2 linked regions of the Arabidopsis thaliana genome follow. The protein of the gene in region 1 interacts with the protein of each later gene in a pairwise test. Each region holds a gene or a part of one and is shown in the gene's direction. Other genes may lie near its edges.

The links. Proteins that work in one complex are often made in the same cells at the same time.
Region 2: the proteins of ATARCA (region 1) and CAB1 interact in a two-hybrid assay, tested with the Arabidopsis thaliana proteins (2 studies listed by BioGRID, with this or other methods).

Annotation. Positions count from the first base shown.
Region 1 is NC_003070.9:6,219,858-6,224,742, forward strand, and holds ATARCA (Transducin/WD40 repeat-like superfamily protein), read left to right. Parts: upstream 1-2,343; 5' UTR 2,344-2,467; coding exon 2,468-3,349; intron 3,350-3,942; coding exon 3,943-4,044; 3' UTR 4,045-4,385; downstream 4,386-4,885. Other genes in the region: AT1G18090 (5'-3' exonuclease family protein), read left to right, coding at 4,682-4,759. UniProt on the Arabidopsis thaliana protein: Major component of the RACK1 regulatory proteins that play a role in multiple signal transduction pathways. Involved in multiple hormone responses and developmental processes.
Region 2 is NC_003070.9:10,475,924-10,479,911, forward strand, and holds CAB1 (chlorophyll A/B binding protein 1), read left to right. Parts: upstream 1-1,961; 5' UTR 1,962-2,147; coding exon 2,148-2,951; 3' UTR 2,952-3,191; downstream 3,192-3,988. Other genes in the region: NRPA2 (nuclear RNA polymerase A2), read right to left, coding at 3,399-3,821, 3,932-3,988. UniProt on the Arabidopsis thaliana protein: The light-harvesting complex (LHC) functions as a light receptor, it captures and delivers excitation energy to photosystems with which it is closely associated.

The DNA of each region.
Region 1 (4,885 bases):
AAATTAATTAAATTAACAGACTAAAAAGAGTGAATTAGAAAAATAACTAGAAAAAAGTAAGTTCTTGAGTAGTAATGAAAGTGACAATTGCTAGTAAATAAGTGGTTTATGAAATCATATATATGAAGTGACAATTGCTGTAAATATGTGATTTAATAGCTTTTCATTAAATATCACAACAAAAAATCTGTGAAATGAATCAATAGCTATTAAATCACAAAAGTAAAAAAATCTGTGAAATGAATCAATAATCCTAACTATTAATGGGTTTAAGAAAAGTCCTCGAAATGAATACCATCTTTGACTCCCTCTTTCTTTCTCATTAGGGCTACAGATTTTTGTCTTTAAAAAGCCATTCAAGTTTCAATGGTTTTTCACTTTTGTTCTCCTCCTCCCTTTTTTTCTTTTCAGGATTCTTCTTTTCTATGTTTTATCTTTCATAATAGATCTGATAATTTTGATTTTTCACTATATATATTATGGTTAATACTAGTAGCTTTTTCATTTCAAGTTTTATCCTTCCATTGGTTCTTTCTGAGTCAAATTGTCTCCTGTTTCGAACCATATATAAGTTTTCAATGGTTTTGTATTAACTCAAGTATTCAACATTATGTCTCTCTTTTTCTTGCTTGGATCTCTAATGCTGTTCATATTTTAAAGCATAGGTTTAGGTTAGATGCATGTAACTGCCAATTAAAAGAAGGTCAAGAGTTTTTTGATTGTATGAATATATGAGTTAGTCAAAGCAGATCCACACGATTATATAGAAAAACAAAGGAAGAAGAAGAGGAAGAGCTCCTTGAAGTTCAATGGAGGGTTTAGCAGGGTGAAGTAAAGCTGCTAAGCTATGGATCCCATAAGCCTTATCAAATTCAATATAATTGATGATAAGGTTTTTTTTATGGATGCCATATCTCAGGAGCTTTCACTTACCCCTTTAATGGCTTCACTCTTCTTTGGATTGAAGGGAGCTCTTCATCTCTCCATCCCTATCTCTCTCTCTCTCTATCTTTAGTTCTTTTAAGAATGACTTTTCATTTTTTGTGTTGTCTGTTGCAGGTGTATAAACATGGATGATGGATCTTGAGTAGGATTTTTTATTTTATTTTCTTGTGACATATATGCAATTTTTATGGTTTGTACTTTGTATTTCCATTAGTTTCGTACTTTTCAGTTATGTATCATTGTTAATTCTAATGTTTGAAGACATTTAGAGTTTATACTTCTCTAAATTACTTTTTCGACTCAATAAAGTCGTTTAAGTGTCTACAAGTATATACCGTGTTAATACTTTTCAATTCATATCCACCATTGTATAAAGATATGATCCGCTTTTATTTAAGTGAATCAATTAATTTACAGTATTCCTCTATATCTCTCTCACACTGTTCGAATAAATTTAATACTCAACAGATCTAGTTTGAACTTTTTAAATAAGTTTAGCCGAAGAAAATTATCATTGTTGAACAAACTTATTAAATTCGGATTGGCTTATTTGATGCATCCAGATTGCAAAACTATATTTTTGAATACAGCTGGAAATGTTTTTAAAGTGTAAAACAACGGTATATATATAAGTCAAACTGGTTTTTTTTGTAGATTTCTCTCCCTTTAGCAAGTTTTATTGCTTTCCTATAATCCATAATATTTACATCCAAAACAGCAATTATATAAGATTTTCTGCTATTTCAATACGATGTTATACTATTTCGGCAGATGTACGTACTACATTACATCTAACCAATCCAGATTGATAACTATATTTGATGTAATCTCGAATTAGTCAATCTCTGTACCACATATAAGAAATTTTGCTTTTTTCACAAAAGAGTTGTTAGAAATTTGACCTATACAAAAATAATGACCACGATAAATGAGTATATACATGTACGTAAGATAAATGTAAAGTTGTATATTTGTGCGCCATTCATGATTCATTCCACGTATATATTGTTTGTTCGAATCAAAGCAAACTCAGAAAATGAAAACGCTGAATGACGATAAAAATAGGGACGCTTTTGTTCGAATTAGCGTGCCCATTATGTCACGAACGTAGATTCAAGTCTTGGCCATAAAACAGGATTCCTTATAGCATCCACCAAAACACGAGAAATCATTCTCAAAAACAGTCTCTCCAAATCCGAACTAAACAACTCATAGCCCATATAATAAGGTCTGTAGTGGGATGCGTTTTTGGCTTTTAGAACATACCAATTGGAGAACACGCTTTCTTACACATGGAAACAAATTACGAACGCTTCCACCAAATATGGGCTGAGATAAGCCCATTAACATAAGACCCAGTAATAAATATATAATATGAGCCCATATTAAATGAACCCTAATCCATTTTTAGTTTCTATCATATAAATAGCTTCTTGTGTTTTTCACGCCCTTCTTCTTTGTATTTCCGCCTCCCCCGAGAAAACGAAAACCCTAGTTTCAGAGGCATCTCCAGACACCGAAAATGGCGGAAGGACTCGTTTTGAAGGGCACCATGCGTGCACACACTGACATGGTGACGGCAATCGCCACCCCAATCGATAACGCAGACATCATCGTCTCAGCTTCCCGCGACAAATCCATCATTTTGTGGAAACTCACCAAGGACGACAAAGCCTACGGTGTAGCTCAGAGGCGTCTCACTGGTCACTCTCACTTCGTTGAGGATGTTGTTCTCTCCTCCGATGGACAATTCGCGCTTTCCGGCAGCTGGGACGGCGAGCTCCGTCTTTGGGATCTTGCTGCTGGTGTCTCCACTCGTAGATTCGTTGGACACACCAAGGACGTGCTCTCCGTCGCCTTCTCACTCGACAACCGTCAGATCGTCTCTGCATCTCGTGACCGTACGATCAAGCTGTGGAACACTCTTGGTGAGTGCAAGTACACCATTTCAGAAGGTGGTGAGGGACACCGTGATTGGGTTAGCTGCGTCAGATTCAGCCCTAACACGCTTCAGCCGACGATTGTATCTGCTTCGTGGGACAAGACCGTGAAAGTGTGGAACCTTTCGAACTGCAAGCTCAGATCGACTCTTGCTGGTCACACCGGTTACGTGAGCACTGTGGCTGTATCACCTGATGGTTCTCTTTGTGCAAGTGGAGGCAAAGACGGTGTTGTTTTGCTGTGGGATTTGGCTGAGGGGAAGAAGCTTTACTCTCTTGAAGCTAACTCTGTGATCCATGCTCTTTGCTTCAGTCCCAACAGGTACTGGCTCTGTGCTGCAACTGAACATGGTATTAAGATTTGGGACCTTGAGAGCAAGAGCATTGTTGAGGATTTGAAGGTTGATCTCAAGGCTGAGGCTGAAAAGGCTGACAACAGTGGTCCTGCTGCCACCAAGAGGAAGGTACACAAATATTTTCCCATGATGGTTCAATCATATGCTTTTAATCGATTACAAGTTTTCAGCTTTTGTATAGGAAGAATTTTCTGTAGTTGGTTATGATGTTGATTATGACTTGTGATTAAGTATTACCCATAGCTGAGTATATCATAATTCGTAATGTTGGTCTGTTATTGAAAATGTGAAAGTTCGTAAAAAGTTTCTTACATGGATTATTCTATTCAAATGCTACACGATGATATATGTAAATGGTCTTCTACACTTGGTTTCAGTTTCAGATTCTGCAATTATGTTTGCTTGAATTACCATTCCGTTTGGAGACTTAGGCTCTCTATCTTCTTTATCTGTTTTAATCTTCCATATATAGCAATTACCATAATTGTGTTTTCGCCCCAGTTTGAGCCTAAATTGTCAATTAAGGTTGTCTTTTAATGGTTTTGTGTGTCCATACTCATTGATTACCTGACATTTCTTGTTAGGATCATAGTAGTAGTAATATTTTTCTCCTGATACATAGCCCTTTGTTTGTTGTGTAATAGTACATGTAAATAACCATGGAAAGTGACTGAATTCAATTTGTTTGTTGATTGGGTCAGGTTATTTACTGCACAAGCCTTAACTGGAGCGCTGATGGAAGCACCCTCTTCAGTGGTTACACCGATGGAGTCATTAGAGTTTGGGGTATTGGTCGTTACTAGTAATCTCATCACTTGTGCTGTCGTTGCTCTCTGCTATCTGCTTGTTGGTTTTATCTATCACTTATGTTTTTATCGACAACTCATGAAGTACCTTGAGGTTTTTGGAAGGATGTTTGTTTTCTTGTCAATCTAGGTTTTTGCTTCTTTATCTTATCGTTCGAGATCTTGGTTTTTAGAGTTACTTCTCCCATTTTGTGGCAAATGATTCCCATTAATAATATAGCGAAATGGTGGAATAGCGGAATTCTCTAAAATTTGTAACTTTATCCAATATGACAGATGAACCAAATGATTTTTAACATGTAATAAACTACTGATTTGCAACGAACTAAGAAGGTTATAGACATGAACATACTATCTTTGGAAATGGACATGAACTGCCGCTATTACTGCTGCTTCCTTCGACCAACGAAATTTCGCCACATAGACTGGTAAAGTCGAACAGCCGCTATTACTGCTGATGTGGCATCTGTCGTATTTTAATCACTCCCGCCATTGCCTTTTCGCGCTAAGTTTTTTTTTTTACTTATGCTTTTTTACTCTAGACTGGAAAAACAAAACAAAAAAGGCTATAAAAAGAAAAATAAAGAAGACAAATTCGCAAGAACCCTAAAAAGAAGAAGATAAGAAATCGGAAATGGGCATCAAGGACCTTCTCAGATTCATGAAACCTTATATCCTTCCCATTCACATCCAGAAATACGCCGGGAAACGAGTAATTTTCTCCGACTTGTTTTCTTAATGTTCTCCATTTCCTTCTCGATTTTAGTTTCCGTTAATCGTTCTGGGTAAATCTCCATTAAAAATCAAGTTTTTAAATGATGGGCTTACACATTTTTGT
Region 2 (3,988 bases), 4.3 Mb from region 1:
GACTAACTTGTGAGTGAGAGTGATTAAAACTGGTTCGATAGTGTTGGATTATATAGGGATATTGTAACGTTTGTTATATCTGAAGTAATCTTTATCTGTTCATTCATTGGATTTTAAGATTTTTGTTTTATCGTTTAGTAGTCTTACGTGGCAATCTCTAGTCCACCAGCATTTGTTTTGATTTTTTCATTGCAGCCAAGCGTTTTGTGACCACAAGTTATGAGCCACTGAATACTTCAACGGTTACACTTACTTACACCCTCGTGACAAGAATGATTTTTGCTACAACCCAATAACTAAAACTTAAAGTATAACATTTTGAAAATATAGATTCTGATGATCGAAACATTAATATAAAGTAACATTATAAAAAGCATTTACCCACACATAAATATCAATATTTTCAATGGTAATTAGTTCATCATCACTACCAGTTTAATTTCAATTATGAATCGATTTCATCGTCACTTTATCCAATAACCAAAATAATCTCATGAATTATGTGATATCACCTTAAAACTTTGACGTTTTACTCTTTATCGAAGAAACACAACGATTAATGAAACACTGTTTTAACTTATCGACCATTTCTAAGAACATGAAAGAACTATATTAATTCATATGGCATGTTCATCATCATGGGTTTAGACTTTAGAGAACATATAGCTACTTTTTTTCTTATCATGATTCAAGTTATCTTTATTGTAAACTTCAACAACCTTTTGAACAAACTTATTTATTCGCTTTTTCCGAATTCATCAACAAATTACTCCTCAATCACACTCCTATAGAAAACGGTTTAAGCTATCATTACATGTCTAGTTGGTTTTACTCAGCCCTAGAAGTGTTGTTTATTGCATCACTTTCCACGAAGCACAATTTTTCTTTTTTACAATCACTAGACCTCACAGGCTCACACATATGCTTTAGAGCACATTCTAAACTTTGAACTATAAAAGCTGTTAACACTAATACACTATGCGTTCTTTTTTGCTCCAAACACTTTTGATCCATTATTAGGAGACACTCCACTTAGAAAGATTTTCTAATCCTTTGGTCAACTAGGAAGTTCAAGGTTTTTCTAAACAGAAATTCATTTCACAAGTAATTTAATTTATAAGGAAATGAATAGAGAAATCAAATCATTGAAGAACTACAAAATATAGATTCAAGGTCAGGTCTAAGAAAATATTCCTGAAGCTCAAAAAAGAGTTTTCCTCTCACATTATAGAATTGGCCTTTACTTCAACATTTTCCCACCTATTCCACATTTGGTCAGAACATTTTTAATTACTTGTGGATCAATTTCCGGTTGAAATGGGTTTGGTGAATATCCGGTTCAGTTATATGGTGGCCGTTGGAATTGGCTTATTAGTTGTGGCCGTTGTTGAAGCCGTTGGTATTGGTAAGGGAGAAGCAGACTTGTGGCTATGAGTCTATGACCATGACTCGTGATTATGGAGCTGTCTTATGACCCTGACCATCACCTTGATCTGGTGGATTCCAATGTTTTCTTCTTCTTCTAATAAAATATTATGGTCAATACAGGTGCTAATTAAGATGGTAATAATTTCTTATGTTTCTGTGGTAAAGTTTGATTCAATTCCGTAGTTTTAGATAATCTTATTTCCATACATAAATTTTATAGTTTTATCTACTTTGTTCTTATGTTTTATCTCTAGCCAAGAGTTATTATTATTATCAGAAGAAGAAAAAAAAAAGAAGCATATATACAAAAGGTTTAATAAAATGTATTATACAAGGCAATTATCCAAATTTTTTTTGTTTTGGTTTACATTGATGCTCTCAGGATTTCATAAGGATAGAGAGATCTATTCGTATACGTGTCACGTCATGAGTGGGTGTTTCGCCAATCCATGAAACGCACCTAGATATCTAAAACACATATCAATTGCGAATCTGCGAAGTGCGAGCCATTAACCACGTAAGCAAACAAACAATCTAAACCCCAAAAAAAATCTATGACTAGCCAATAGCAACCTCAGAGATTGATATTTCAAGATAAGACAGTATTTAGATTTCTGTATTATATATAGCGAAAATCGCATCAATACCAAACCACCCATTTCTTGGCTTACAACAACAAATCTTAAACGTTTTACTTTGTGCTGCACTACTCAACCTCAATGGCCGCCTCAACAATGGCTCTCTCCTCCCCTGCCTTCGCCGGTAAGGCCGTCAAGCTTTCCCCCGCGGCATCTGAAGTCCTTGGAAGCGGCCGTGTGACAATGAGGAAGACTGTTGCCAAGCCAAAGGGCCCATCAGGCAGCCCATGGTACGGATCTGACCGTGTCAAGTACTTGGGTCCATTCTCTGGCGAATCACCGAGCTACCTTACCGGAGAGTTCCCCGGAGACTACGGATGGGACACCGCCGGACTTTCAGCTGACCCCGAGACATTCGCAAGGAACCGTGAACTAGAAGTTATCCACAGCAGGTGGGCCATGCTCGGAGCCCTAGGCTGCGTCTTCCCTGAGCTTTTGGCTAGAAACGGAGTCAAGTTCGGAGAGGCGGTTTGGTTCAAGGCCGGTTCACAGATCTTCAGCGATGGAGGGCTCGATTACTTGGGAAACCCTAGCTTGGTTCACGCTCAGAGCATTTTGGCCATTTGGGCCACACAAGTTATTTTGATGGGAGCCGTTGAAGGCTACAGAGTCGCAGGAAATGGGCCATTGGGAGAGGCCGAGGACTTGCTTTACCCCGGTGGCAGCTTCGACCCATTGGGTTTGGCTACCGACCCAGAGGCATTCGCTGAGTTGAAGGTGAAGGAGCTCAAGAACGGAAGATTGGCTATGTTCTCTATGTTTGGATTCTTCGTTCAAGCCATCGTCACTGGTAAGGGACCGATAGAGAACCTTGCTGACCATTTGGCCGATCCAGTTAACAACAACGCATGGGCCTTCGCCACCAACTTTGTTCCCGGAAAGTGAGCCAAGTTTTATCTGTATTTTGCTTCAGTCTTTGCTTCGTGAGTGTGAGAGGAGAAAGAGAGCTTGTTTAGATGTAAAATTTGCAAGACTTTGTATTTTTTTCATTAATCAAATAACTCGTTTTTCTCTCAAATTATCTGGCAATTACCAAATTGGATTCGTTTTATGTCCTTCGGATCACTCAATTGCAGAGTTTATTACCACAATTGAACAACTTATACATGTCAAAGTTAAGTTAATGGTATTGGAGAATCAAAAATTCATTGATTTTATCCGTACAAATCAAACACATTTGTTTAAAAATTCACTTTGACCAAAAATAGATGACGTTTTCCACTAGAAAATATACTAACAAAGCAAAACCAAAAACTGATGAATAATATATTCTTCTACACACTAGTACATTGTAAAGATCTGGTTATTTTTTTCTTCCTCTGGTGTAAAATCTTAATCAGTTACTCCTTCTCTATCGCTTAACTGAAGAGTCATCTTAATATTCATTGAAGCCAACTCTGCAGCCAAGTACCTGAACACATAGGGCATTGCAACTGTTTCCATGCCTTTACTTGTCTTGCAAGAATAGCAAGTTACCTTCTTTGGAGTTCTACCAGGAGGTAACTTTCCAATTTCTTGAATAAGCTTCTTCTGTTGAACGTTCACAACAGATGATGTGAGCAAGCTTCCACATAGCGAACACACATCTGCAATGTGGTGATCTGAAGATGTATGAAGCCTGTCGTGTAATAGATAGGAGGCTCCATGAGCAAGTAGTGAGTCTCGCTCCATTTCACCAAACCGAATCCCACCACCTCGTTTTCTTCCCTTTATTGGCTGATGAGTTAGCTGATCCACTTGTCCCGTAGATCTAACCTGTAAGCCAGAGTATTATGATTCAGATATAGCACGAAGATGAGACAAGTGCCAGTTGGAGACTATATGTCAGGATGATAAAAGAAATGAAGCCAGAAGGGTCGAAAAACCTGGAATTTGTCTGAGACCATGTGACGCAGTCTCTGGTAGTAAACAGGCCCCATAAA